Caenorhabditis elegans: one gene and its partners. The protein of the gene in region 2 purifies or fractionates together with the protein of the main gene of each other region. This does not show direct contact. Each region holds a gene or a part of one and is shown on either strand. Other genes may lie near its edges.

Region 1 (7,904 bases), on a different chromosome or scaffold from region 2:
TTTTTAGTTTTGTATGCGGTTTTCACCGCATGGTTTCTCCCCGCTGATTCGACCTTTTCGGGGAAAATGAAACCCCGCGGGTGGCTTCTGTTCAGTTTTTTGCTAATTATTCAAGTCGCCTATGCCAAAATCCCTCGGGAATATGAGGAAGTCGGTAAGTGATTATATACAAATCTGTTTTATGAATATACATATTTCAAAATTTCAGAAAATCAAGACAATATGCTATTCACAGTCACAGAACCATATACGCTCGCCTATACATATCAAATGAAACACGCATTCATGCTTGGAGTTCATTTCCCAGATGGAGCAAACAAAACTTTCCGGGTAAGAGTTTAGTTATTTTCGTGAAAATATTTATTGTTTGATAACTTAGTAGAACAGCAGATCCGGGTGTTTTTTGTAAAAAAGAAATTACGGAAATCACCTTTTTTAGAATCTGGAAATGGTCCTCGCCGATCCCGTCCACGGATGTGAGGCTCTGCGCAATGAGATCTTTGCCCCTTCAGTCATTCTCATGGAGCGAGGAGAATGCTCTTTCACCGTAAAAGCACTCAATGGAGAAAAAGCTGGAGCCACCGTCATAATGGTCACCGACTCACAGAACTACGGTACACTCCTTGATTATAAAACCATAAATACAACTTTAATGAATTTCAGAATACAGTTATCATCAGTACTACGTCAATATGATACCTGACGAGTCTTTGGATCGTGCCAACGTCCCATGTGTCTATGTTGCACCAGTGACAGGGTATTACAATTTTGTTTCGCTTTTCAAAAGTTCAACTAGTGAAATTGCTAAGCTTAAAAGCAAGTAAATATAATTTTGGACAAAAATTATATGTTTCTCTGGATTTTTAAGTTTTTTCAAGCTGTTTAAAGCGGTATAACTTGGAAACCGATATTGCTCGCAAAATATTGCCAACTAAAAACTCACAATGGCAATTTTTGATCATTTTCTGTGTTGTTTGTTTTATCAACATCACTCTGGAAAAAGTCATGGTGGCTAACATCTCATGGACCTGCTTTTGATTAGATCTGATTTTTTCGACAAATAACTCAAGTTTCATGGTATAGACCAACAACAAATCTAGTTTAAAATAGACCGGCGGTATTGATTTGAACAAATTCAACAAATCGAAAATGTTTAGCTTTCAGAATTTTGAGATTTTTAGATTTGACGCAACATTTCATAAAATTAGCGCACACATTGATTCGTAAAATTCTTTCTGAAATCTAGAGTAATTTGAATTTGTTTAAGTGTTTTGGTCTCGCATCTCTGATCCACAAGATTTCATTCGCTATAACCTTTACCAGAAAAAAAATTGATGAACGTTTATAACAAGGGAAGTGTATAAAAATTATAAGTACTATTCTTTGGTTGAAAATGTTCTGTTACCTGCACTAGGCTCTGTGAAGAACAATTTATATCATTTTTCAGACGCTACTTCCGTGACCACCTCGAAGAGGGAGGAACCATCAAGTTGGACATTCCAGTCGAGAGGAACTATGCACCATGGGTTCATCACCAGAAGAAGGCTCCATGGGAGATTTGGCCAGATGAGGACCATTACTTCTAAATGAATCCTCTCAAAGCTTTAATAGTGACAGTTCAATTATCATTTCGGTTCTTTCTAATTTTGTGTTGTGATTTCCGACGTTTTGCCTACGGTGTCCCCATTCTGTCTCAGCTTTCCTCATTTACATGTCATTTTTGCATATTCTTTTTTTTATTTTTTTTTCTTCACATCAAAAATCTGGTTGTAACCTAATATTAATATTTCGTTATTTCTCTTTCACATACTTATCCTCCCGAGACATTGGATTCCGTATCGCCCACGGGTTATTCCTCCCCATTGGTTTTTCCCATTCCCGTTGTCTATGACAAAGTTGCCATTACAATGAATTTTTCAATATGTATGTTTTGAAATGGTGTAGATATGAGAAAATGGAACACCAGTGTCCTATGCTCTTTTCACTTTTTGTCATTTGTCAAATGCGGTGTGGCTATGGAGCACCACAAGCACTAGAGAAAGTTTTTAATTCTTTAGGCAAATAAAACTCAGCAAGTCGACCGCTTTCATTGTCTTTTTCTTCCGTTTCCTCTCACTGCTTTATATATCCATCATCCATAGTTAGTGACATAGAAAACGGTTTTTGACAATGAGTCACCGAGATTTCAAATCGTATTTCTTTTAACAGTGCTGCATTGGGATTTTACTTTAGTTTTTTTTAGTTATGTTAGTTGTTTTCTGAGTTTTTTTTAATTTCTATGTGAAACGGGCTTTGCAAATTTTTCAGACGCTTTTCTGGAAAACCTGATTTTGCCCTAAAGCCCTAAAATTTGATTCTTTTTGCGTTTGTTGATAATATTTTTAACTGAACAAAAGTCGGAAAATTTCACAAATTTTGAATTAACGCACACAGTATTAAAAAAAAAATTACAAAGTTATTAGAGCTCAAAACGCTGAATTACCAAGACAGTGCGCTAATTATTACGAGAATTCATATATAAGGAAAAAATACGGAAATAAAAGTTAATTGTGTTCCCATCTGATAACTTTTACTTTTCTTGAATAGTTTACATTTTTAAAATAGTTATTTTCGACAGAGTAAAAATAATTTCCCACTTAAATATTTTTTTTCAAAGTTTGCCTTGCTCAGCATTCATAAATAGATAAAAATTGCGCAACTTTTTCGCAAACGAAATAGGTTGAAGATATTAGTTGCACCCTATATAATTTTTGTGAAAGAAAAGTTTCGTAAAACCTTATTTAATTAATTAATTTAAAAAACATTTCCAATCAAATAATAATTAAACTTGCCAAAAATATTCAGATTTTTCAAACTTGTCGTGAAAGTTTTGGTAAATTTGGCTTTTTAAAAAAATTTTTAGAATCCAAACTTTCTGAATGCAAATAAAACTTTGTCAAAAATATTTTGATAACTATTTGCTCATTTTAGTACTATAAAACGGTTTTCTTTGCGTTTAACATGTTGAAATTTTGTGATTTTGCGAAATAAACAACTCAAAAAATAATTTCTAAAAACTAGTCAATTCAAAATATTTCCCACATTGGCACTTCCATCAAAAAAATGTCTTTTGAATTTGACTCAATTATGTTGCGCTCGTTAGATTTCGGTTTCTGTTCAACACACACCATTTTTCCATTTTAGCGAGGTCAAACCAATTTTTCGTTTCAAAAATTTTGATGCTTTTACTTTTACTACTACGTTTTATTTTGTGACAGACAGTTGCAAAGTGGAAAAATATGTCTCTTATCACTCGTTTTTGATTGCGCTATTATATGTAGGTTTAAATTCTATTGTTCACAATTAGAGCGTGCGACGGATTTTTATTGATCGACCTTGAGGTTCTGTCAATTGTTTGAATTGTGTCTTATACTGGTTGTAGAATTTGCTTGTGAAAGTTATTGGCACGCATCCAAATTCAGGTTCGATTCCACTGTTTTCTCCGTCTTTCTTTCTCTACGTTTCTTCAGCAATCATCACTCTCTAGGCGCTTGCGCATCTCTATTTCTGTTGTTTCTCCTATCGTATTTCTCTTTTCAATTTCATTTCATTTCATTTTGCATATGAATAATATTATATAAATATACTTTTCCATTTCGTTTGTATTCCAGATAAATGCCCGAGCGGAGAGTGTTCATTATCCGTCATGGTGAAAGATGTGATTTTGCATTTGGCAAGTCAGGACTTTGGATCAATTCATTTGACAGCAGAGGAAGGTAAACGTTATTTTAAGCATTCTAGAACAAGTTTAAGTCTGTAGATATCGCCCGCTTGACATCAATCTTCCCCGAACTCTTCCAAAACGTGCCGATGGATGGCAAGGTTTTGCTGCCGACACCCCGTTGACTGAAATTGGTTATCTTCAATCAAAATTGACAGGTAAACTGAAAATTTGCAATTTATTTGCAAAAATAACAATTACAATTTTCAAGTTTATTTCAATAATTTAGATAGATTATTTTTTGAATTTCATAACAAATTAAGTTGTTTGAAATTAAACCAGTTGCCAGTTGGAAAATTGTTTAGAGCCATAGCAATTTGATTTAGGCTGTTTAAGAAATCTTTGAAATTTCCTGAAAAATCAAAAAAAAACCAGCAATTTCCAAAATGACCAATTTTTGAAAAACAATTACTGAAAGTATGCAATTTTTACATTTTTAGTTTTTATAAGATCTCGAAGAGTTTTCCGAAAAAAGTGATTAACAAATAACTACAATTGCGAATTATGCCAAATTCAATTTTTTAAGTTTCGAAAAATTTCGGCAATTTCGGCAGCTAAAATTTTTGACCGCGTACCTTTTGTTTCACAGTTATCATAGTTCTGAAATTCAACTTTAAAAACATGTTTCTGCAAATTTTATATTCCAATGCAGTTTCATTAAATGTGCATTTTTATTCGAACTTATACAAAACGTCATTTCATTTGAATTTTGGCTATTGTCTTGTACAGAAAAATGTTGAAAAATATGGAATTTGTTTAAGAGCTTTAGTTGGTTATATTGAATAATTATAAGAACTATTAAAAAACAAATCATTATTAAATGCTCAAAAACACAGTTAAAATTTGAAAAACTTGAATTTATTTTTACATATGTTATTCGAGAAAGTTTAGGTATTTTTTTGAAAATGTATTTCAATTCGCACAACGTTTAAATAAAAATAATTATAAAAACATTTAAAATTACAAATTTATGAAAGATTTTATAAATCGTAAAAACAAGAGCTTATACTGTTCTTTGGTTTCTTTTCCACATCATTTCTAATACTGTACTGTATTTTAAATAGTTTTTTTTTTCAAAAAATAACTTTATTTTCAGTCAGAATTTGTCTAAACTATTATCTATTATGTTCTTCATCAACAAGACCTATTAATTTTTCAGGACGAGCATTACGTGACAATGGAATCGAAATCAACCATGTTTTCTGTTCCCCGGCTTTGAGGTGCATCCAAACAACAGTTGGTCTATTGAAGGGAATGGGTACGTCATGTTTCGATGTTTCCCGCAAGACAACTGACATCACTTAAAATAAACATGTTCTAGGTCTTGACAAGCGAATTCAGTTTTCCGTTGAACCTGGGCTTTATGAGTGGATGGTATTTGCAAGGTACGCAAGACCATGCTGGATTCCGCCAAAAGATTTGAAAAAGCTTGGTACGTATGCTCGGCGTTTAATTCCAATACTAAAAATGTTCAGGCTACCCTGTACAAGAAAACTATGTACCATGTTGGACGGATAAGGAGCTTCGAATGAATGAAACCTTAGCAGATTTCTATCAAAGATCGTTTGGTTCTATAAACAAAATTTTGTCGGAATGCACAGAAGGTGATTTCTTTTCTCAACTTTTTGACACTAGTGATCAATGTGTATTTCTCGTGATTTTCCTGTCTATCACCCTATGAACTTTCTAGCTTCTACATCTCATAAAACGTCACGTTAAATGTATATTCCAGGAAACATTCTCATTGTGGCTCATGGTGCATCACTCGAAACATGCACTCGGCAGCTGGTCGGCGGTGATATCAGATCAACTGACGATTTCTACTACCTACTTCAAAACACACCATACTTGTCGTGTGTAGAAGTGAACTCTCGAGAAGGATTATGGAGACTAGTGGGCAGCCCGATTCCGTCGTTTTCACACACGTACAATCGCACTTTTGATCCATTGCAGCTCGTCACAAAAGATTTGGCCTCGCTGAAAAGAGAACGAGAGGGAAAAGACAATATGAGGACCACTCAATAATCTTTTTGATAATTTGTAAGCCGAATTAATTTTTCTACGGTTCTGAATGCTAACATTTTTGGCGGGAGTTCTTTATTCGAATTTATGTAAATTGAAAGTCTTTAACTTTGAGCCTAACTTTTTATTGCCAGTGGGAATATTTTTCAAGTTTGCTTTTATAATGCTAAAATCTTTTTTAAAAAATATTTGAAATGACTCGATGTGGAAAATTTGAAAATTTACCATAATTTTGTCTGAAAATTTTTTGAAGATGTGTTATAATATTTAGTCAGTTTGGTCTATGGTCTCAACTGACGGTTCTCCGGCCTTTGATTAGTTTGGTTTTTCTTCAGTTTATCACCGACGTTGTTCATGATCTCAACTTTCTCCTGTTTTTTTATTCGATTCATATTCAAATTGTTATACTTTCAACTAATAAATCATTTTATTCGACAATCAATTAACATTCTGTGAACTTCGAAACCCGAAATTTGTTTTCTCTTTTCAAATATATTTCAATGATAGATCTACTTGTAGAGATATGAGATAACTCTTTGTAATGGTTAAACATTTAAAAAAAAAGGATCGGCTAACATATTTGTTGACTCCAGTTGATTGCTTTGTCATAAAACTGAGTAGGTGTGCATCTTTGAGTGGTATCGAGCTGCAGCAGTGATTGAATAATCCCCGAAACCTCTTGACTCAGCTCGTCGGGCAGCTCAGGCGGGTCGTAGGCGTCGAAGTTAGCCCCTGCCACATACAGGAAGAGCTTACACAAACTGCACTCATCGAATGGGACCTGCAAAAGAAAAATTGTGAATATGAAGTTATCTACGTCATTCTTCCACTTCAACTGCGAAGCCCCTGGGGAGTTATTTGCGTTTTTGTTCTTGGAAAAACTTTAGGGTTCGGAAGGACTAACCTCTCCTGTAACGCATTGGTAGAGAAGGCATCCGATGCTCCACATATCAACTTTTGAGTCATACTGACAAGTTTTTAAAAGGTTCGCTCCAACTTCTGGAGCCATGTAATAAAATGTACCCGCAACGTTGCACAGCTCTTCTCCCTCGTTATCAAGGGTTCTCGAAATTCCTGAAACAAGAAATGAATTAAATTACGTAATGAGTTCCAAAACACACCAAAGTCTGTGATCCGAGCACAAGCAATTTGTTTCGATGCATCTGTATAAGTGATCAGTATGTTTTGGGGTTTAATGTCCCGATGTACAATTTTCAACTCATAAAGCGCTTTGTATCCTCGGGCAATGTTGTCAAGAAGAAGCCTGAAGTGATTTCTGTTTGAAAGTTGTAAAAAAGTTTTGAGGAAGACATGCTGAAACTTCCTTATCCTAGCCCTCTTCCCTAGTTCCTGTTCCGTATTCTCTACTATTTACTTGAATCAAAACATGTTTGTGTGTTCCCCCCCCCCCCCCCCCCGTTCCCCAATCTGTAATGCAAAGAAAAGAAATGCGAGAATTCCAAATTCCTTACCTGAAATTCGACGGATTCAATCTTCCTTTGACCGAAATATTGCGCATGTGATGGTCAAGATCACAATCGCAGAGTTCCATTATTAAACAGCAGAAAAAGTCGTCGAAATTGCAAATGTCTAGTACTCCGACTAGATATTCACTGTTGAGTTCTCTGAAAAATCTTATAGTAGAAAGTTTCCAACAAAATTAAGAGATACAAAACTAAAACTTACTTGATCATTTTCAATTCGCTCTCCTTCACGTGCACTTTGAGCATCCTTTTTATGGCAATCTGAAATAATACTCCTCATATAACAAACGGGATATAACGTTTTTTACCGAATTGCTAGAATCCTTCAAGCTCCCCTTGAACACTGCTCCAAATGCTCCCATCCCAATCATGGCGTCCACTGAATCCATATACTCGTATTTTTCATCTAATATAATTTGCTTGTTGGTGAAGTCGGGCATCAAAAATGCACTGGCCGTTGAGGAACGATGAGAGGCGCAATGAATAACCATCTGCAAAAAAAAAATGTGAATTATTTTATTGAGCCGGACACTTGGTATTGTCTGGTGCAAAAACAACGTCATCAAATTTAATGAGAGAAAGATGGAATTATGAATAAAGGAGAGAGGATGCATCAATTAATAAGACACAATTACTTT
Region 2 (6,444 bases):
CTGTTGCAATAAACCCGTGAATTTTCCTTCCGTAAAATCTGACGTAGCTTGCTCTTAACCGTGTGACATTTGTTGAAAATTCTGCGTCTATAAATTCCCGCGGTTTTTGAAGATCAAATCGGAACGGGCGCCCGGACACATCTTGACCAGGGCGGGCGGCGATTGCGGGACGGGGAAAATTGCCGATTTGCCGGAAATTTCAATTCCGGCAATTTACCGAATTGCCGGAAATTCTTAATTCCGGCAGCGTGCCGGTTTGCTGATTTGCCGGAAATTCTCAATTCCGGCAGCGTGCCGGTTTGCAGATTTGCCGGAAATGTTCAATTCCGCCAATTTTCCGATTTGCCGGGAAATTTCAATTCCGGCAATTTACCCATTTGCCGGAAATGTTTAAATTCGGCGATTTGCCGAATTGCCAAAAACTTCAACTTCGGCAAATTGCCGACTCGCCGGAAATTTCAATTCCGGTAATTTGCCGATTTGCCAGAAATTTTCGATTCCGCCAATTTCCCGGTTTGCTGATTTGCCGGAAATTTTCGATTCCGGCAATTTGCCGGAAATTTTCAATTCCCACAAGTTGCCGGTTTGCCGATTTGCCGGAAAAAATTGTTTGCCGCCCACCCTCTGATCTTGACTACGTGGTCGCTAACGCATTAAACTGGATCGATTTTATGCCGAATAACACCAAAAAAATTTTTTTCAGCAACAAGCCACCGACTTCTGCAAGGCCAACAATCTGAAATGCATTGTACGAGGACGTCAAATGGTGGATGAAGGTTATCTGAACAAGCCTAGAGAAGTGGTCACTTTGATTTCCGCCGTCGCCTATCTCGACAACTTCCGGAATCACGCGGCAGTGTTGCAAGTGGATAATGATAAGGTGAGCAGGCACAAAAATGTTCTACAGTAGTTTTAGTGAGTACTGTAGGACTAATGTAGATATACAGTAACTTTGTTCTTTCAGGGAAAAGTGATCCGCTACAAAATGGAAGAAGGCGAGCAACTGTCGCTGGAGCTGGTCAAGCCTGGAATGGGAAGAAATGCAGTTTCTTAATACTCGAACTTTATTTTAAAAATAAATGTTTAACAGAATTTAACTCCGTTGTGATCGATGCATCCAGGTGTATCGTCGGCCAGAGCGACAACCTGTCGTAATATTATGGGAAACTCATATTTAAAAGCGCACGATTTTTTTTGGATGGGTCTCGCAGCGAGGAAAGTCTGACAGTACTTTTTGGTCGTTTTTTTTTGCGGCGAGACCCGTTCGAATAAATCAATAAATCTGCGCGTTTTTAAGTACGAATTTCTGGAAATTGAGAGGCTATCATAACTTACTAGGCATGTCACAAAGAGCAGGAAAGTAAGACGAATGATTGTAAGAAGTACGGTCATTATCACAGGAATATTGAATGAATATTAAGAAAAACTGTGGGCAATATATACTTTCGGTTATCGGTTTTTAATAGTACATAAAATTGAAATAAAAACAGCAATAAAAGTCATATATCACAATGTGACATGTCTTCTAATGCAGGGGTGTGCGGCAAATCTCAAAGTTTGCCGAACTCGGCAAATTCGGCAAATCTCTTTTTTCAATATTTGCCGTGCTTAACAAACTCGGAAAAATTTGAAATTTTTTATGTTTTTTGGAGCACCAAAACTACTGAATTCTTAACACACATCTGGTTTCTGAATAAGTTCCGCGTAGTATGTCTGTTTAAGCATCAAAATAGCTCAATTTTGTGCCATTTCACTAATTTTTTGGCTAAAAAATCAATAGTTTTAGTCAAAATTGTACTGTCAAATTTTTGACGTGTGCGGCAAATTTCGAAATTTGCCGGGCTCGGCAAATTCGGCAAATCTACTTTTTTGAAATTTGCCGTGCTCGGCAAATTCGGCAAATTTGCCGAGCTCGGCAAACGGCAAATTCGGCAAATTCGGCAAATTTGCCGCACACCCCTGTTCTAATGGTCGTTGTTTCCACTGCCTTTTTGAACGAATAATTCAGGAACTGTGACGCCAGGGGATCCACTGAAGACGGACGACGTTTTGATTTCGGCAGAACTCTTGAGTCGGTAATTTGAACTTCCGCAAATTCGTTTCTTTCTTTGCATAGATTCTTGGACAATATATGCGCCAAGACGACCGAATATCATAATAAAACACTCCAAAAATTTTAGATGTTTCATAATTTCCGGTTAAAGTCATGGCAAGTTTCCAAAAATTTTGAAAACTATGTGCTTCTGAGAAAATCCAAAGTAGCATGTTCCGACCCCTACAATGTTTTGACACAAAAAATGATCTACAAAAAATGCGTGAATTTTTGGCCCAGAAAACTGTGACGTCACTCCTAACCATGCAAAATCAGTTGAGAAATCTGCGTCTAGACGCTTGTAGTCATTTAAAGAATTACTGTAGTTTTCGCTGCGAGATATTTTGCGCGTCAAATATGCTGCGCAATTCGAATTTTCAGATTAAATTTTTAGAATTCCAAAAAAAATTGCAGGCATTTCGTTGAGAACTCTAAAATGACACAAGAATTGTCACTTTCCGACAGAGAATTGATTACTGAATGAAAAATGCGGCAAATCTAATGTTTTTATTCATAAAAAAAAGATACTAGGAGATCAATGTTATGGTTTCTTTTATTGGATCCGTCCTACTGTCCTCTAGTCCTGAGCACACCGCCCCGAGTAACAGCAGCCACTTGCTCAGCCTTCAATTCATTGGCTCTTTCAGTTTGCTCTTTCAGCATTTCCGGTTTCATTCCTGTCAATTGTTGGAAGGTTTGAACGAGTGCAAGTGGGTCGACAGTTTGACGAGCAGCCGGTCCCCATTCGTATCGGAACACTTCTTCGTCGTTCTCGTTCACAGATTTCGTAAATGCGAGATATCCCTTTTTGATGAACTCGGAACGAGCGTTTGGAGCGATTAATTTCTTCAGGAATTCCATATGATCCAGGGAAAGTTTCCGATCAGAGTGTGTTGACATTGAAGCTTCCTGAAAAGTTCTTAAATTTATAAATATTTTGTATCAATAAACTTCTACCATATAAGACATCAGATCTTCTTGAGCAACTCCTGGATGTTTCGATTGAGGCTTCGTCGCCACAAAAACATACATCAACACATTCTTGAGAAGTCCCAATGTTCTCTCGGTCTCACTTGCTCTCACTTCATTCGGTGCATCTCCATTCACATTCACATATGTGAGGCGATCGTCTTGGATGACTGCCTGAAGATTTAGAAGATTGAAATAAATTAAAAATAAGCAGTGAAAAACTATGAAATCTTACATTCCATCCCTGCCAATGCAGCAAATTCTCATTGACAGCTTTCAAGACTCCCGGCAGAGGTCTGAACTGAACTGATCTATCCTTGACGACGGTCGACTGGTAGATTTTACGAAGCTCGCTGATCTTGACAACTCCTTTCTCACACTGAAATTCACTCAAATATGCTCTTTTTCGTCTGTGTGAACGACTTACAATGCAGCGAACAATCCAAAAATAGATTTCGTAAGCGAGCTCTTCATCCTGAAATTGGACGATATTTGCGGCATATTTCATAAATAAGCTTACCTCTCGAGATATTTGTGTCGCATCATCGTCGCTGCCGCTCATCGTTGTCCTTTAAAAGCTGAAATTTCCTTCATGAAAGTTATGTTAGATCGTTGAATTCAAAAGACGCATTTATTGTCGAGCTTGCACCATAAAAAAGAATCTATTTTATTTCAAGAACAACGAGAAAAATGAATTTTGATAAAAAGAAAACGTTTTTAAACGAAAATGTTTCAAAATTGAGAAAACAAAAAAAAACAATTTGTTCAAATTGTTTTTACAGACTTCAAATTAATGCGCCCCACGGTGGTTCAGTCGCTAGATGGCGGTAAACACGCTCTATTGCGAACAATCGTTTAAATTTCAAGCCTTTCGCTCGGCATCGATTCTCTCCGTTTTTTGCCGATTTTAACCGTTTTTCCGTATCTTTTTTGTAATTTTTTTTTGTAAAATCAAAAGAGTGTGTCTTGTTTCAAGTAGTAAGCGAAAAAATTCGAGAAAAACAAAGGAACGTCGAAGTGGGCGGCAAGGAAAACGAATTAAGTGAGTTTTTTGACGAGTTCTCTTAAAAAATCACAAAATATTTTATTTTTTGGTATGAAAAAGAAAGAGCTAAAAATTCTGAACAAGATACGAGCAGAATTTTCTAGAAATCGTACCTTCTTCATAAATTTTTTTTCGAAACTAAAATTTTGCACTAAAAATTAAGAAAAAAATTTTTTTTTTCGAAAACGATCACAAAATGTTGTATTTTTCTTGCCGAATCAGAAACAGCTAACAATTCTCTACAAGATGAAGACAAAATTATTGAGAGATCGTACATATTTCACTTATTCACAATTTTTCAATTTTCACAATTTTTCAAAAGTAAATTTTTTTCACTGAAAACAGTTTTTAAAAACGTTCCATTTTTCAAGAAAATCAAAAAGTCTTCACATTTTATAGTTGTTTTATGATCAGCATTAAATTTTGTATAAGATGGAACTAAATTCATAGAGAAATCTTAATTTTTCATTAAGATTTTTTCGAAAAAAAATTTTTTGAAATAAGAAATTATAAAATAATTTTTTTTGCCAAAAAATCACAAAATGTGTTAATTTTTTGCTTTAAAAAGAAAGAACTGTTAATTTTGAGCAAGATACAGGCAGAATTTTCTAGAAATCGTACATTCTTCATAGAAAAATTATCGAAACTAAAATTTTGCACTAAAAATAAAGAAAAAGATTTTTTTTTCGAAAACGATCACAAAATGTTATATTTTTATTGCCGAATTAGAATCAGCTAAAAATTCTCTACAAGATAAAGGCAAACATATACACGAATCGTACATTTTTCACTTGAAATTTTCCAAAAGTAAATTTTTTTCACTGAAAATTAAATCTCAAAAAACGGAAATTCTTTTTTTTTTCGAAAACTTTTCAAAAACTGCTTAGATGTTTCAGAAAAAGGCAAACTTTGTTGTTTCCTCTGTTCGGATGCACTAAAAACAGCATCAAGTGAGAAATTATGGTGCAGTAGAACTCCTACATTCAAAATACCCCATTAACTTCTAGAGCCTATATCTTCGCGGAAAAAATTTTTATGACAAAGTGATCAACTACGAAGTTGTTCATCTTAATGTAAAGAACAACTATGTAGTTGAACATTTTCCACCAAAAAATTTGGTGGCTGAGATAAGAGTGGGTGAAATACGGCAACTACATGCATATTTTCTATTGCTCTTTTCATGGTCATATTTTGGTCACCAATTTTTTTGGTAAAAAATGTTCAACTACATAGTTGTTCTTTACATTAAGATGAACAACTTCGTAGTTGATCACTTTGTCATAAAATTTTTTTCCGCGGAGATATAGGCTCTAGAAGTGAATGCGTTTTTTGAACAAAAGAGTTTCACTGTGCCTCAATTTTATCTGAAATTGTGTTCTAAACATTTAAATTGAGAAAAAAAATCAATAAAAATAGCACTTTCTCATATTCCTGGTAAAATTTTTTTAAGTTTTCAAAAAATGGAAGTACATGAAATCATGAATTTTCAGATAAACACCTTGCCTAGAAGACGTTCAACGTAATGTCGATGGATTTGTCGGCAAGAACTTCACCAGAATTTCAATAAGTGGAGATGCTCTACATGATGTCCTTCATTTTGGAAAACTGCCGATGTAACATCCCAGGAAACAGTCAGAAATGTGAAATTCAGGATTTCCTTTGGTTCGTTGTGTTAAAAACGTTCAAAAATCATTAAAATCTTAAAATTTCAGACAAAAACCTTGCCAAGAAGCTGCTCAAGTCAATTTCGATAGTTTTTCATCATGATTTCGGCCAGGAACTCAAAAAGCTGAGAAGCTCCACATGGTTTCCTTCATTTTGGAAAAGTGGCAAAGTGACATCTCTGGATTTTATCGAAAGGATCGAATTCGGGATTTCCTCAGGTTTGTTGTGATTAAAATAATTTAAAAATATAGAATTTCATCAAATTGCAGATTGAAACCTTGTCAATGAGCTATTCCGCACAATTTCGATGGATTTAACACAAAAAGTTCACCAGGAGTCGAGGAAATTAAGAAGTTCCCACTGATTTCCTCATTTTCGAAAGTTTTTCCCAAGAAAAATTCCAACTTGCAGCCGAAAAGCGAAAAAGAAGGCCGATTCCACATATTAAATTCGTTTTTTCAATCGATTTGCGTGTTTTTTCACTTTAATATTGTCTTTTTAAATGATTACTCCGTTTTTCTGTTCAAAATCAACTTTTCTGTGTTTTAATACATTAATTTTGAATTGTTAGTTGATAAATTTAATAATAAAATCTTTTTTTTTTAATTTTATTCACTTTAAACTAGTAATTCTGCCTTTTTTCTGCTAAAATTTGCTTCAAAAATCTATTTGC
Region 3 (6,952 bases), on a different chromosome or scaffold from region 2:
AATGACGAAATACTTATTGTTTACCCAGCTACAGTAACTTCCTCTGATTTGAAGTTTCTTTGAAAAAAAAATGAAAAAATCAGTTGTTCACGTGGAATGATTGATTGAGAATCCGATCAATTCTTATTATAATCCTACTAATGGATTGGTATAATCCGATTACAAAACTGACTTTTGTTCGATTCATTGATGTGCTGAAAATGGAAGCTACTAAACACCCGATCGGGAGCACTCAACTTCTGGATGATAAGGGAGAATTGATCAACTGATAATTTGAAAAATTAATCGCTGGAAGCTCAGTTCAAAGTGAAAAAGGGTTTCAGCCAAAAACAGGACTTGCAGCATGGTTTATTTATTTTTTTAAACAAGAATTCTTCCACGACTGGCTCAGTCAGAAAAATGTTTCATTTCTAAAGAATATAATGACTATGTAAACATTTAGAGCACGCCACGTTTGGATTACTGTAGGTGGCAGTTTTCTACCGCTATTATCTTTTTGAAACTCGGGCACACAATTTAGACCCTCGCTTCAGAACATACTATCAGGTTGTCCCATAAGTTTTTGTACTTTTTTTCAAATATTTTTCCAAAACTTCTAGAAAGTTTTAAAATTTTTTCATCGTAGGTCGTGTCAAGGTCGGGTCGTCCCCTTTCAGAAAAGATTCATTTCATCCATTTCTACTTTGCCACGATGACAATCATCAAACTTGAACGTCGAGACGTTAGATTGCTTCTTCTTTATGAATTTCGTCTTGGTCATTCAGCAATGGAAGCGGAACGAAACATATGCGGTGCGATGGGTGAGGGAGCACTCTCTTATAATACAGCAAAGAGTTGGTTTCAAAAGTTCAAGAACGGCGACTTCAGTCTCGAAGAAATAGAACGTTCTGGGCGACCGGTAGAGTTAAATGAAGAAGACCTAGTGAAGCTGGTGGAGGAAGAGCCTCGTCTTAGTCTTCGTGAAATGGAAGAGAAGCTTGAGTGTTGTCATAGCACAATTGCATGTCACTTGGGTCGCCTTGGTTTTACTTCAAAACTTGGAATTTGGGTGCCTCATGAACTTTCGGCATCACAGAAGCTCACTCGGGTCAACGTTTGTACTCAACTTCTAACTTTTCGTCGAAAGTTCGATTGGCTGAACAATCTGGTTACTGGAGATGAGAAGTGGGTGCTCTATGTTAACCGTTCCAGTTAACGTCAATGGCTTCCGATCGGTGAGAAAGGAATACCGACGCCAAAGCCTGATCTTCACCCAAAAAAGATTATGATCTGTGTCTGGTGGGGTGTTCAAGGACCCGTGCACTGGGAATTGTTGCCAACTAATAAAACTATCACTGCTGATTACTATTGTGCCCAATTGGACCGAGTTGCAGAAAAGACCAACGGAAAATATGAAAAACTATATTTTCTTCACGATAATGCTAGGCCTCATGTCGCCAAGAAGACTTTCCAAAAGCTGCAAGATCTTGGTTGGACTGTTTTACCGCATCCACCATATTCTCCAGATCTTGCACCAACCGACTACCATTTGTTCTTGTCTCTCAGTGACTACATGCGCGACAAGCAATTCGACGACGAAGAGCATCTCAAAACTGAACTCTCCACTTTCTTCTCATCGCGTTCGCCGGATTTCTTCTCCCGTGGCATCATGATGTTACCTAGTAAATGGCAACAAGTGGTGGACACTAATGGTGAATACTTGTGTGAATAGTACTACTTGTCGCTTGAGAGAAATAAATTTTTTTCAAAAAAAAAATAGTACAAAAACTTATGGGACAACCTGATATTAAATAGAACTGTATATTGCCACTCCATGTCCCCAAATGATACTGTTATCCAAAGAATGACAGAATGTGCAAAAGTGGTAAATAGTAGCTGGGACGAGTGAGGGGCAAATTGAGCAGTTCGTTCATTCCCAAGCTCATAAAAAGGAAATGCGCACCTGCAGATCTCTGCGCCTCTGAATGGGTACACGGTCTTTATAAGGTGAACCTAATCGAGAGAGAATTTTTATTATAACTTTTTTTGTGTTTTTCGAAATTGAAAATTACTATGAAACGGAAGGAAACTAAGGGGATAAATCGAATGTGAGCATATACAGAGAAACAGAGGAAAACTCTCGATGTGGGTTACTGTATCAAAAAGTATCCAGAAGGTCATCTCTCTCGTCGGCTTACGAAATTTACTTTAAAATTGCGGGGAATTGTCAATTCACATATAATAAAAAGAAATTCGAAAAAAAAACAGTGCAATTTTGCTGAAAACCAGAAAACTACAAAAAAGTGGGCGTGGCCTAGAAGGGCATTTGAGTTTTTTTGAACAATTGAAAAAAAATTAGAAAATATTAAAACTTTTGTAAATTTTTAACAGTAATGTTCGGAGATTGACCTATTTTCTTTAATTTAAAGAAAAAAGCCAAAAAAATAACTCGCTTGTTCAAAATCAGATATGAGCTCCCAAAACTTCTGTGAAGAAATTATAATCAAAAGCTGAAAATATCTGGAATAATTTTATATAGTTATCAATTTTTATTGTCACGCAACATTAGTATACTTTTCACACGAAACGGGTGTTTTTTTTGTGAAAAATGCATGTATTACTTGTTCGCGAAAACTTTTTTTTCAGTGGGGTAATGAAGTCGATTGCTGATAAGAGAAAATTCCTTGGAAGTTTGGACATCTAATTAAAATTAAATATTTAATGTTAATTTTAACAGATTGATGTGAAATTTGAACACCTGAAAGTTAAAAATTGCACTAAAAACAAAAAACAATCAAATTTCAAATTTCGCGCGTCAATTTTTGAAGCGCAAACAAACGCGCTCCAGTGCTCATTTTTCAGTTTTGTAATTTTGAAAACATGATACTAGGCTTGTATTCTTCCTATTTTCTCATATTTTGATCTGTTTTAGCATTTTTTGACCTCCGGCGGGAAAATTCAAATTTTTGTTTTGTTTTGTTTTTATTTGTTTGCCAATGGTTTCGAAATTATCCAGCATTAGTCATTCATTTCATTTGTTTCAGTTGGTTTCTTTGTCATACGATTATTCTTGTGAGAGAATATCGTGCATGCAAAGTAGTTTAGTATTTTCTTTTATTTCTGACACTACCGTTTTTAAAAATTCAACTCTTGTTCTCTTTTCTTAAAGATCTTTATTTCAGGAGGATGAAGACGGTTGCCGCACTCACACTCCTGGCTTTTGCCACAGCTGCCAATGGACAGTTCCTTCAAGGTGCGAGTTTTGTCCAGATGCTTTTTTAACATTGACAATTCAGACTGTACAAACGCTCTCGATGGTCTTTACGCTCTTGGTGAATGCGAACCACAATTTCTGACTTGCTCGGGAGGTATCGCAAGAATCATGGATTGCCCAGCTGATCTCATCTACAACGAGCCACTTCTTATCTGCGACTGGCGCCACAACGTGATTGGTTGCGAAGGATCTGGAGAATCATCTGGTGAGACCTCAGGTGAAGGATCTGGTGAATCTTCCGGTGAGGCGTCTGGAGAAGGATCCGGTGAAGCATCTGGGGAAGGATCCGGCGAAGCATCTGGAGAAGGATCTGGTGAAGCTTCTGGAGAGGGTTCAGGATCCGGAGAGGAGACAGTCGAAAATGGTAAGTTAATTCAAATCATTCATCGATAAAATGTTTTTTTCAGTTTGTGAGAATCTCGAAGACGGGGCCTACTCATCAGGTGGTTGTACCACTTACTACTTCTTCTGTACAACAAACACGGCCCGTTTCCTCAGTTGCCCAACTCCACTCTTCTACGATGCTGATTCTCAGAAGTGCATCTGGAAGTCTCTTGTCGAGGAATGCAAGGAAGACCTGACCATCACCGATGGATCAGGGGAGACTTCTGGTGAAGGATCTGGAGAGGCTTCTGGAGAAGCTTCCGGGGAAGGATCAGGTGAAGCATCTGGAGAATCTTCTGGGCAAGGATCAGGTGAAGCTTCTGGGGAAGGAAGTGGCGAACTCGAGCCAACATGCGAAGGAAAAGCTGACGGAATCCATCCAAATGGAGTTTGCTCAACCAACTTCCTCACTTGCTCTGGTGGAATTGCTCGCATCATGGACTGCCCAGCTTCTCTCGTCTTCAATCCAACAATTCTTGTTTGTGACTGGCCACGGGACGTCGCTGAATGCGCTGGACTTCCAACTCCACAGCCAACATGCGAAGAGGACGGATACTTCTCATTCGGACAATGCTCATCGTCATTCACTGCTTGCACTAACGGCCGTGCCATCGTCATGTTCTGTCCAGCAGGACTCAAGTTCTCCGAGTCTACCGTACGTTGCGACTACGAGTCCAATGTTTCCGAATGCCAAGAGACGTCGGGTGAAGGTACGATCGTTTTTTACAGTTTCAAAATTTTATTATCTTTTTTCAGAATCTGGAGAAGCTTCCGGTGAACAATCTGGAGAAGGATCTGGAGAGGCTTCTGGTGAGGCCTCTGGTGAAAGCTCAGGAGAGGGATCCGGTGTGGAAGAGCAAAATCAATGCGTTGGACTGGACAATGGACTTCATGCTATCGGATGCTCTCCACGTGTTCTCTCTTGCCAGAATGGACACGTTGATATCTTCGAGTGCCCATCCAGCCTGGTTTTCAACGATCAATCTTTGATCTGCGATTACCCACAAACATCGTTGAAATGCCTCATCGAAGGTGAATTTGTCTCATAAATTAGCAACCCTAAATGTTTATTTCAGACACTATTCTCATTGATGAGACTCCAATTGCTGCATTCGACTGTTCCACTGACGGCCTCTTCTCCGATGGCCTTTGCTCTGCCACTTATCATCAGTGCACTGCCGGACAACTCATTAACTTCACTTGTGCCGCGAGCAACGCCGTCTTCTCAGCTGCCAACACCGAGTGCGTCGACTCATCGACCCTGCTTCAATGCCATTAATTGTACCCATTTTTTTTACAAAATTACACACTAATTGACTAACCCCGTGAAAAACTATTGCCCCCATAGAGGCCCCATATTATTGTAAACTTGCCTGTATATATTGCATTTTTCATATTGAGAAATGAAACTGCCTGACTAGAACTCTGAATCTTAATTTTTTGGCTTTCATGAGATGCTGGGTGATTACTGTAGATGATCTTTTATTACTCGAGGAAAAGTTTGAGGGTTGAATGAATAACAATGCAAGTTTGAAAAGGGGTGGGTACCCACGTGGGATAGTTTTAGATGAAAAAGTGCCACTCTAGCTTTAGAGAGATTCTTTGACAAGCTTTCTCAATGGCAAAGTGGGTTGGTTCAATTGGAATAATGTAAACAGTTGTGCAAGATCTTCTATTGTTTTCTCGATCAGCTGACTCAGAAATATAATATTTAAGTATCTTATTCGTCCGTGTTTTTGAAAACGGAAGTTACAGTTAATACCAAGTGTAGACAGGTAGATGCTCAGATACTCCTCAATAATTCGTTTCGCAGAGGAACCAACAAGCATAGAAGCTGAAAAATATTGACGTTTATGGTTAAATACAGAGTACTAGTTGTAAGGGTAATTTATTTATTAGATTACTGCGTTTTTTTCACTTCTACGACTTTAAAGGGGACGCTTTTATGCGGAATAGTCTCGACACGCTCCTACACTTTTACACTTATACTGTATTTATTATATTTATTAGGATATCGCCACGAATATCAGGTGTGTGCCTTTAAAGAGGTACTGTAATTTCAACCGTTTATTGCTGCGGAGTTTTTATTGATTTTGTATTGTTTTCTAGAAAATATTTTCTTTCCCTTTTGTTAAAGTGTATATGTTTTTATTGTTAGATTTGAGTTTTCAAAAACATATTTTTATTGTAAAAATAGGAAAAATCTATGAAAATTCTGCAGCATCAAAAGTTTGAAATTACAATACTCTAAAGACACACACCGTTTTGAATTTTATACAAAATTTGTCGTAACGAGACCAGACATAGTTTATTTGGCACAAAATCGGAATATTTCGTGTCTGAATAATATTGAAAAGTGTTATGTAACTTACATATTTGACAGAAATACGTAATAACCATCAATAAAAACTCCTCGGTTGTGATTCGAAGTTCAATAAACTTTGAAATAAGACGGCATCGTATTCTATTCAAAAGATCAAGAGGATATTGATCGGAAATCTCTTCGGGAAAAACATCCACTTTTCCAGGAAAAACCATAAATTCTTTTTTATCGAAATAAGATCGTCCAGCCATAAATACAATTGATAATGTGAAAAACGAATGTTTCAAAATAAGATTGGCTTCATCAGCATTGAGCATTTTGACAAAATGTATTCTTTTCATGAATTCGAGAGTGGTAAAAGCCTCAATTGCGACCCAATCATGAGAAGTGAAGACGACATCCATTTCCTTTTTACATAATTTTACCAATTTTGGATCGAGCATTTCTTCAAAATTTAAATCAGCAGTCACATGGCATGTATAAAATATTTTCTGACGTTCGGCATCTGATGACATTAAATCTTGAATAAGTTTAAATTTGTTTGAGTATATATCAAAAGATGCAATTCTCATATTGGCATTAATACACTCATAAAATTTTCTTCTCGGGCATTTCTGTTTGAACTCAGCAATCAAACATCTTTGTGGGCATTCTCCAGGATTACACGATTTTGGTGGTTTTTTGGAGTTTACTGCTCGACGGAAAACCATTTTGCATGGATTACAACTGCTAGCCTGCAATAATAATATACATGTAAAAACACTTATGTGTATATTTAAATTGGATGTCGTAAATTAGATAACTTACGCCATAGCTGAATTGGGGTTGTGATGTTTTACAAACCAGACAATATTTTACTTCTTCTTGAGCAGACGACATTAATGATATCGGAATGTGAAATCTGAAGTGTGAAAAATAAGATTCAAATTCACAAAAAGGGAGAAACACAAATCACATGTCATTTGATTTATTTCATGAAATCAGAATAAAAA
Region 4 (8,675 bases), on a different chromosome or scaffold from region 2:
TGCACTTCGTGACAGAACAATAGTATCGTATTTCATTAATGAGAAGCAATTCAGACCATACACTGGCATCACATTGAGCCACGGAAGAGCTTGTTGAGCTTCAGCAAGTCCACCGCTAATCTCATCACAATCATCAACGAAAAGAACAGAGTATCCGTAGTTTCGAGCTTCGCAAAGCTGGAATTTTTGAAATTAAAACAGAAAATGATTTTTCTATAGATAACTTACATCAATCCAATATTTAGGGTCTCCATTCTGTAAGTTTTGAATTTTGTCAACAATATGCAAATCGTCTTGTGTGTGCTTTAGAGTGAGAGCAACACAAAGTCCCTGAATTCTGACTGCGTCTGGAAGCATGTAGAACCACGTTCTCGGTCCACGAACACCATTTGCGAAACCTCCTCGAATAAATTGTGGGGAACGAATAGAACCAACGTGAGCCCGTCCAGTCTTCTTTTGAGGCCACGGCTTTCTACCCCCTCCGGGCATTTCAGCTTTTGTCAACATTTTCGTCATTTGCACATTTCGATATACACTTTGCCACGTGAGGTTACGGTGTAGAATATCGATACGCGGTGATGTTCTGAAAATGTCTGGATGGAGATCCACGAGTCCGAGCTTCTCATCTTCGATGGTATCCAAATTTGAAACCCAAGCTTGTGGAGTTTTGATGAATGGATTTTCTGGTTTTCGCCATAATTCTCTTCGTGTATCGATGGATTCGCCAGATGAAGTCGAGGAAACATCCTGAACAGCCGATGAGAATGCTCGACTTGAAATTAAAAAACGCAGCTGCCTGGAGAGCATCTGAAAAGGGATAAGGTGTATAAATAATTTTAAAAAACCAAAAAAAAAGAAAGATATGTTCTAACACTGTTCGTTTACAGTAGTGATTCAAAATTACGATTTGAAAGCAATATTTTGATTTTTTAAATAGGTAAACAACTGGATATTTAGAAAATGAAGAAACAATCAGAAAACAAGGAAAACAAAAGATCTAATCAAAAATTTTGAAATCTTGAAACTAAATACTAAAAATTAAAATTTATTTTCCTTGCTGCTGACGTTTTCGTTCTTCTTGTCCTTTTCGAACGGCTTCCTTGAACATTCTGAGCAAATATTCAGTGGATTGTGGTGTATCATCGTTTGCAGGAACCAAATATGTCAAGTAAGCCGGATCCGAATTCGAGTCAACTACTCCAATTGTGGGAATCGCCATTTTTGCGGCTTCAACGATGGCTGGATGGTTTTCGCCGAGTGATGTGAGGGTTGACAGGAAGCAGACAGCATCTGGAAGTCGAACTGAAGCTCCGAGAAGTTGTCGAGTGTTCGTTAGAGTTCCTGATTGCCACTTTCGAACGTGAGAGTATTGCCCAACCTGGAAAATAACACCTTTTCAAATTTTTTTTTGTAAAATTTTTTTGCTTGATTTTTAAAGATTACTGTTTAAAAGACATACATTTTTACAGTAACATTCACAACTAGAAAACAATGGTGAATATTTTCTGAATAAAAAAAAACAGCTCAGGATCGCAAATTCCGCAGAAACAAATAATCTCGCAAGATTATTAATTATCGGATCAAAGTATGTTCACATCACTGCTGTTATGAAAACTCGAACCATGAATCATTTTCCAATAGATTGGTGTTCTCACCCCTACACCACCATGCACACTGTCTCACCTCATCTGCTGCCTTCTCAACATCAAACATGGTGTCTCGATTGGAAGTGACAAAAAGAATCATTCCACCGCGCAATGACACATGAGCAACGAAATTTAGAGCTCTGACGAGATATTTTTTGGTAATATCGAGGTCGAAGAGGCAAACTCCAAGACGTTCACCGTACAGGGCCCACTTCATATTGTTGTTTACTGTTCCGACCTAAAAAAAATTATATTAGTTGTTAATTCAACTTCTCAAGCTTAAAATAAATTTTAAAAAATGCGAAAAAATCCCGAAGTTTTTTTCGTAATTTTCCAGTGCAATTTTCGAAGAAAAGAAAATTGGGAAATCGACTTTTAAACGTATTTCATTCATTTTTTTTAACAGTTAGAACCGCCTTTCTTTAAATAGACTACCTTATGTCCGTAGTGAAGTCTTGCTTTAAACATCTCATCGATATGGACCATTTTTTCAAAATTAAATAAATCTTCATGTTGAAGTGACGCGGAAACGAATGGCTTCAACACTGTTGGCTGGACTGTTCCTTTTTCAAGAGTTGCACGATCCGGAACAGACGACGATGATGAAGTAGATGCAACTGGTTTCTGGAAACAAAGAATTCTAAATTATATTTTTGGTAAATGGTTACCTGCTGCGACGCGGAAAATCGTGTCGAGAAGGCTCTTTCTGTACGGATTGCAGCTGCTACAACTCGTCTCATCTGGAAATTCGTGTTGAAAGAAAACATGGTAAGTAACTAGTAAGTTAGAAAATAAGTAATAATCAATTTGGATACAGAAACCAAAGAATCGATAATTCAAAGATATTTTGCAAACTGAAAACAAACAAGTTCATAGAAGCATAAAATTTGATTTGAAATGTATTTCGATATCTCTGAGAACAATGTGAATGTACTGTACCAACCGAGAAAATTCGTGTGCTATGAAAGGAAAGAAGACGGGGAGGCGGGGTTCACTAGTCTGAATTACTCAATCAATAAAATATGAAAACAAAAATCGAAATATGAATAATTATTTAGCTGATTATATAAAATACATGAAAGAAAAACACGGGGGACTTATGGCATTCTATTGAGATGATTCTTGAATATTTCTGAATCTACTGATGGATTGTGACTGTTGGAGAGATCGCAGCAATAATTGGCAAACAAGAGTAGAGTTGTCATCACTTTTTGCTAATTTTTAGACATGGAAACATTGGAATCTCTTCTGAAAACGACCAAACGACATTTCTGTCCGTCAAATCAAGTTTCAGAACTCTGCAAGCAATAATGTTCGATTTCGCCACGTGGATCAATTGCCTGGAAATAAGAAGATTTTTAAACGACCAAACAGCATCAACCAACATCATTTCGCGATTTTGCTCCACAGAGTTATCGATTTTTTCGAGATGTTCACGTGCTTCATTGAAACTTTTCTGAGCTTGATCGATCAGTGTCTCAATCTTGTCTTCATACATTTGGTCAATTCTGAAATGCGAATAATTATTTGTATACCCATAAAATGACATTTTTTAAAAACGCAGTAAACGCTTACCCCGAATCACTTTTAAAACGTTCGTAATCCACACGAACTGGAGGCCCAAGTGAGTCGAATGGTTCGAATCGTCTTTCGAATCTTAGTTTTTCAGCATCATCTCCACCCTTCGGCATCTTGATGATTCCTTTACGAATCAGAACAACTGTCAGTCTCACAACTCCATCAGAAATCATTGAAATTGCGATTTGATTGAGAACACTGAATTGATGAGCAGCGACACGACGTTTCAACTCTTCTCCAAGTTTACATCTCTCTTCCCACAGTTTTTTGTTTTTAGTCTCTCTCAGTGGATCTGGAAAGTGCATAACAGAAAACGGCTTCATGTCTTTGTTCAATAAATTTTTTGAACCCTAACTGTAACAATTTGATGGTTTTCACTAACTTGCTTGATAAACGTTCAGCTGAATTTCTTGACTCCGTTCCAAAGTTGTTCTCATCCAATGTGCTTGAACTGAACCAATAAACCAGTAAATGTATGGGAACTCGTAAGGAACGTAAAGGTCCATTCGAAATCCAAGTTCGAAATAATGGTTAATGATTGCAAGAAGATTGTGAAACACAAATGTAGCCACTGAGTGATATGAGTAGTTCTGCTCTTTTGCTGCAATGATTTATTTGTGGAATTACTGGGAATTTAGAATAATTTTTAACATAATTTTTTTAATTTTAAATTATCTTACCAGTAACCATTTTTCCGCTAAGCAATACTTCATCAGTTCGCTCTTCCAGTCGTCCAGCATATGAATGGATTTGACCAAGATCTTCAATGGCCATCTCAAGACGATCTCTTTGACGGGATAAATTGCATCCAAAACTACCATAGACGGTGATTGCGAGTTTTGACATGTGATTCAAAAATAACACATATAGACTTTGAGCAGTTTGATCTTTGTAAACAGGAGATCTGAAATAATGAGATAAGTTCGTGATGTATTCTTGTTGAGAAGTACTCACACTCTATCAAGAATTTGTGGGCAGAAGCAGTTGCTCAGTGAGTATTCAACGGCGTCAGCAATTGATCGATTCTCATCACCACACAGATGGTTGTCGACTGGGAACATGCAAATTTGAAGAAGAGATCTGGTGAAGACGCATGCATTCTGACCGAAAGTTCTCGCAAAGTAGAACAAATAGTTCAAATCTTTTGAAGTTTTTGGAGTGACAATGCATAGGTGATATATTCTTTCAGCACACTTCACCCACCAATCAGCAGCTTCTTGTCTTGATGGAACCTTGATTTTTCGAGGGAAGCATGCCGGGATCATTCGTATACAAGTTTTTGGTTCATATGCGCCAAGCCATAGGTAGTCACCATCACCATCAATATTGTCGGGTGCTCTTCTTCCTAATTTAACTGTTTCCGCATAAGCCTTTGTGACCTTGCACAGTCTTTCAGCCAAAATCGAGGCGAATCCAAAATTGGGCTTGAATTGTTTCATATCATCTTCATCTTCGTCGTCGCCTACATTTTCATCATCATTTTGATCAGTTTCATCTGTTGCTTCATCATTACTTTTCTGTTCTTTCTTCTCTGTGGTTTCCGATTTTGCTTCACTTGAAGGCGTTGGATCAGACGTGGATTCTTCTGATTTTTCGTCAGAATTCTCTTCGGCTCCTTCATATTCTTTTTCGTGAACATAGAAATCCCCCAGATGAACTTTGTGATCGAAGTTAGGATCTTCAATTTCTGGTGCAACCAATAAGCCAATAATTTCCAAAAGCATAATAAACATTTCAAGACGGGATGCAACAGCACAGCAAATATCGTACGCCTGTTTACTGAATGCTGACTCTCTCCACTTTCTTCCAGTAGTACCGAGCAATGTAACCTGTTCTCGCATAAGCTGAACGACGACTCTGCGAGGAGCCCATCTCTGATGACTGAAGAGCATTTGTGGATTGAAATCTTCGGGTAACTCTTCTAGGTTACCAACACTGTTGATAAGTGCATGAGCATTTCGAATGAAAAGATTGACGCCGGATGCGAATGGGTGGAAAACGGGATGTTTAACAAAAGTCACATTTGAAAGCAGCACGTTTGTCCAGACTGTCGATCCAAGTGCACTTCCTTCGAGCCAAGCGACAACCATCGCTAACGTACTATCCATAATTGCAAGTTGAAAAGGATAATCGTCGGCGTAGAGTCCCTGAAATTATTGACTTAGTTTCGATAATGAAATTTGACAAAATACCCCACTAATCGCTTCTTTCAATGTTTTAATGTGTTTTGATCCTACTCCAACGTCCATTTTCGGTTCTCCCAGTTCAATTGCTGACATGACATCTGAGAGCCGAAAATGCTCTGTGGTTACCAGTTCGCCCAATCGCAAGCCTTAACGTTTTGAGAAAAATTATAATATCCAACCTATAGAAATTACCATCGCAAAGTTTAAAAAACGTTTTGGAAACGTCTTCGCTTTCGTTTGGAGATTCCATTGCACCAGGCATTGGACCCGTAAAGCTGAATATTAGAAAACTTTGAAGAAATCTGAGAAATGTTAAAAAATTAAGAACAATGTCTGATAATGGGATTTACGGTAAACAACATGCACCTCGTTATTTTGGAGTGTCGTAACAGAGCAAACGCGCTCTATGGACAATTTTAAAAAACATTTATTTTCGAAAGAATTGAAACAATTTTTTGTCTTTTTCTAACTTTTCAGCTCTTTCTGGATTTTTTCTATGATATTTATATTTTTCCCGTTTCAAATTCGAAATAATAGTTTTTTTAAGGTTCAAAATGCCACTCAAGCCCGGTGCAAATCCCTACAAAATTCTCCATCTCGAAAAGGGATGCACAGACAAAGAAATTCAGAAGGCATATCGTGCACAGTGTCTTAAATGGCATCCGGACAAAAATTTGGATAATAAAGAAGAAGCCGAACGTAGATTCATTGAAGCCAAAGAAGCATTCGATTTTTTATATGATAAAGAGAAACGAGTACGTTTTTACTGTCGCTGGTCAATGTAATACTTTATTTTTCAGGAAGAATATGATAATCGAGAAGAGAGAATTCGAATGGCTCAGGAACACCATAGTAAACGAATGGCTGAAGCAGATGGAAAAAGGAAAAAGTTAATTGAAGATTTAGAAAAAAGAGAAAAGGAGTTTTCCAATGGTGGAAAACGGTCAGCAGATGGATCAACTCCAATGACAGCAGCACAACAAGCTAAAAAGAAGAAAACCGATCAAAGAAACTTTAAAGAAGAAATTGAAGCAATTCGGAGGCAGTTGGAGAAAGAAGTCAACGAAGAGGTGAAACAGAAGGCAACATTGATGAAAACAGAAAGGGAAAAGCATCAGAAAAGTCAAGAAAAATTAACTCCTCGATTACTTTTGAAATGGAAAACATCAGAAGGATTAGACTATTCTGAAGACGATATTCGAAAATTATTTTCGACTTTTGGAATCATATCTCACATATCTTCGGCAATAGAGAAAAAAGATCGACGGAAACGAATCCTCGAATTTGAGTCGGGAGCAAATGCATGGGGAGCTGAACTTGAAACTGGGAATGCTCCGATGCCTGAAATTACGTGTGAATGGTTACAACCACCGGTGGAAACTGTGAAGAAAGCTTCGGATGAGCCAGTAAAATCAACTAATACGGGTGCCAACAATTTGGAGCACATGTCTTTGGACGATCTCGAAGCACAAATTATGGGTGGATTCTAATATTTTCATGTTTTTGTTTATTTTTATATAATTATAAAAATAAAACTTAGCTTATTTATATTTATCTTCAAACACTTTTCGATTGGTTTTTCGTGTAAGTTCCAATGTATTTTTCTATTGAACATAAACCTCGGTTTTCCCATTTGCGACTCATTAAACACAAAAGATTGCCGATATTAAGAGACGCAGACGTGAAGAAAGTGTGTCACGACGCTCCACAATCCCTCACCCGACAACCTCATTTCGTTTCGATTTTATCTCGAACTTTATTTCTGAACATTTAGAAGCTTCCACGCTTTCAAATGGCATGTAAATACTAAACGATTTCCAATTAAATTGGTTAATGAATCTGTTTTGAAAATGAAATGCTATGAAGAATTTCAAATGTTTTTTCCCAAAATAAAATTTTTAGATTAAAAAAGTTTATCATAATTTCAGAAGATTCTGACATGCCCTCTTAAAGGCACATGAATTTATTCAGATGGGTTTCTGCGCGCAAAAAAGTTTATGGTAATTTCTTTTCCATAAATCAGACTATTTACCTCATCAAACCCCAAAATATAGTTTTTTTTCAATTTCATTCAATTTACCGTTTATCAACAGATCATAGGTTAAAAATTGCCAATCACCTGTCAGTCCACCCATTCTCGTCCATTTCCCGTCATTATCATTGTTCCATAATCACCCGTTTCCCCCAGTTTTTCTTGTCTTTTCCTATCAACATTTACCATATGTTTAATTTTTATTTACAGAAAGATGGCACATCAACCGTGTTCATCGTCATCTTTCTCAAATGATTCGGGGTCAGACTACATTGTAAATTTGAACGTTGGCGGGAGGATATTTGCTACAAGTTGCAACACGCTCACCTGGATTCCGGATTCATTTTTCACTAGTCTGTTGAGCGGTCGAATGAATAGTGTTAAAGATCCGAGTGGTGCCATTTTTATTGATAGAGATCCTGACTTGTTTCGAGTTATTTTGAACTATTTGAGAACGAAACAAGTTGATTTATGGTAAGCGGTTTTTCTAAATGACCAAACTTTCCAATACTAAATTGCTTTATTTTCAGTGGTATAAAAGTCGACACTTTGAAACATGAAGCTCTTTTCTTCGGACTAACTCCACTAATCCGCCGTCTAACTTTATGTGAAGAACTGAGTTCAACTTCATGTGGATCTGTGTACTTTTGTGGAATGATCCCACCACCTGATATGCCTCTTGAAAACTTACCAAATGAGAAAAGTCGCTCACCTATGTATTCTAATTCTTCTGAAACATCGACAAATAATTCCAAGAATAAATCAAACGGGTCGCCCAGACATCGTGGACATTCCAAAAAACAGTCAACGGATATGAGTAGATATGTAGGCTTAGTTTTAATTCTAATTAAATATTTCAATTTTTAAATTTTCAGATAAAAAATGAGCTATCTGAGCTAGCAAAGTCGAAAAGTCAACCAGACCGCGACACGGATCCAATGAAAGTTCGAATGATTCGAGCACATATATGTTCAATTGTTGTAGCATATTCCTACTTTGTATGTGTATATAGAGTTACTGAATGGAATACATATGTTCTATTGTGGAAATCTCCAAGAGCACGTACCTATGTATCACACATTGCGGTCAATACTAAGATCGCAGCTACAGTTGCGGAACGATTAGTCGCAGTTTCTTTTCAAGATGATACAATAGGATTGTGGCATATCGATGATGAAGGAAAAACCGAGAAAAAAGGTTTTTGTTTAGTATTCTATCGTAACGGAACATATT

What was found.
Region 1: the proteins of mage-1 (region 2) and T07F12.1 fractionate together in Caenorhabditis elegans (co-fractionation; one large-scale study listed by BioGRID). This does not show direct contact.
Region 3: the proteins of mage-1 (region 2) and cpg-2 fractionate together in Caenorhabditis elegans (co-fractionation; one large-scale study listed by BioGRID). This does not show direct contact.
Region 4: the proteins of mage-1 (region 2) and natc-1 fractionate together in Caenorhabditis elegans (co-fractionation; one large-scale study listed by BioGRID). This does not show direct contact.

What each region holds. Positions count from the first base shown.
Region 1 is NC_003284.9:4,890,407-4,898,310, forward strand, and holds T07F12.1 (Steroid-phosphate phosphatase), read left to right. Parts: upstream 1-3,648; 5' UTR 3,649-3,654; coding exon 3,655-3,755; intron 3,756-3,799; coding exon 3,800-3,918; intron 3,919-4,919; coding exon 4,920-5,018; intron 5,019-5,081; coding exon 5,082-5,192; intron 5,193-5,235; coding exon 5,236-5,364; intron 5,365-5,492; coding exon 5,493-5,785; 3' UTR 5,786-6,225; downstream 6,226-7,904. Other genes in the region: T07F12.2 (PA domain-containing protein), read left to right, coding at 67-154, 209-330, 440-614, 664-757, 1,448-1,586; T07F12.4 (Protein kinase domain-containing protein), read right to left, coding at 6,354-6,563, 6,687-6,856, 6,904-7,046, 7,255-7,407, 7,469-7,527, 7,575-7,757.
Region 2 is NC_003279.8:2,639,919-2,646,362, reverse strand, and holds mage-1 (MAGE domain-containing protein), read right to left. Parts: upstream 3,640-6,444; 5' UTR 3,624-3,639; coding exon 3,582-3,623; intron 3,537-3,581; coding exon 3,489-3,536; intron 3,441-3,488; coding exon 3,297-3,440; intron 3,236-3,296; coding exon 3,050-3,235; intron 3,002-3,049; coding exon 2,660-3,001; 3' UTR 2,585-2,659; downstream 1-2,584. Other genes in the region: F40E3.5 (Serine/threonine specific protein phosphatases domain-containing protein), read left to right, coding at 704-880, 965-1,054.
Region 3 is NC_003281.10:7,100,200-7,107,151, reverse strand, and holds cpg-2 (Chondroitin proteoglycan-2), read left to right. Parts: upstream 1-3,161; 5' UTR 3,162-3,165; coding exon 3,166-3,232; intron 3,233-3,275; coding exon 3,276-3,617; intron 3,618-3,660; coding exon 3,661-4,347; intron 4,348-4,393; coding exon 4,394-4,669; intron 4,670-4,713; coding exon 4,714-4,916; 3' UTR 4,917-5,062; downstream 5,063-6,952. Other genes in the region: ZK418.11 (NR LBD domain-containing protein), read right to left, coding at 5,227-5,471, 6,010-6,670.
Region 4 is NC_003283.11:8,459,397-8,468,071, reverse strand, and holds natc-1 (Protein MAK10 homolog), read right to left. Parts: upstream 5,714-8,675; 5' UTR 5,673-5,713; coding exon 5,603-5,672; intron 5,557-5,602; coding exon 5,417-5,556; intron 5,372-5,416; coding exon 4,179-5,371; intron 4,129-4,178; coding exon 3,905-4,128; intron 3,826-3,904; coding exon 3,607-3,825; intron 3,517-3,606; coding exon 3,222-3,516; intron 3,155-3,221; coding exon 3,032-3,154; intron 2,987-3,031; coding exon 2,851-2,986; 3' UTR 2,503-2,850; downstream 1-2,502. Other genes in the region: mrpl-4 (Large ribosomal subunit protein uL4m), read right to left, coding at 1-177, 229-807; mrps-2 (Small ribosomal subunit protein uS2m), read right to left, coding at 1,046-1,378, 1,684-1,884, 2,082-2,270, 2,315-2,386; dnj-22 (J domain-containing protein), read left to right, coding at 5,965-6,165, 6,211-6,900; T23B12.6 (BTB domain-containing protein), read left to right, coding at 7,657-7,916, 7,973-8,267, 8,318-8,639.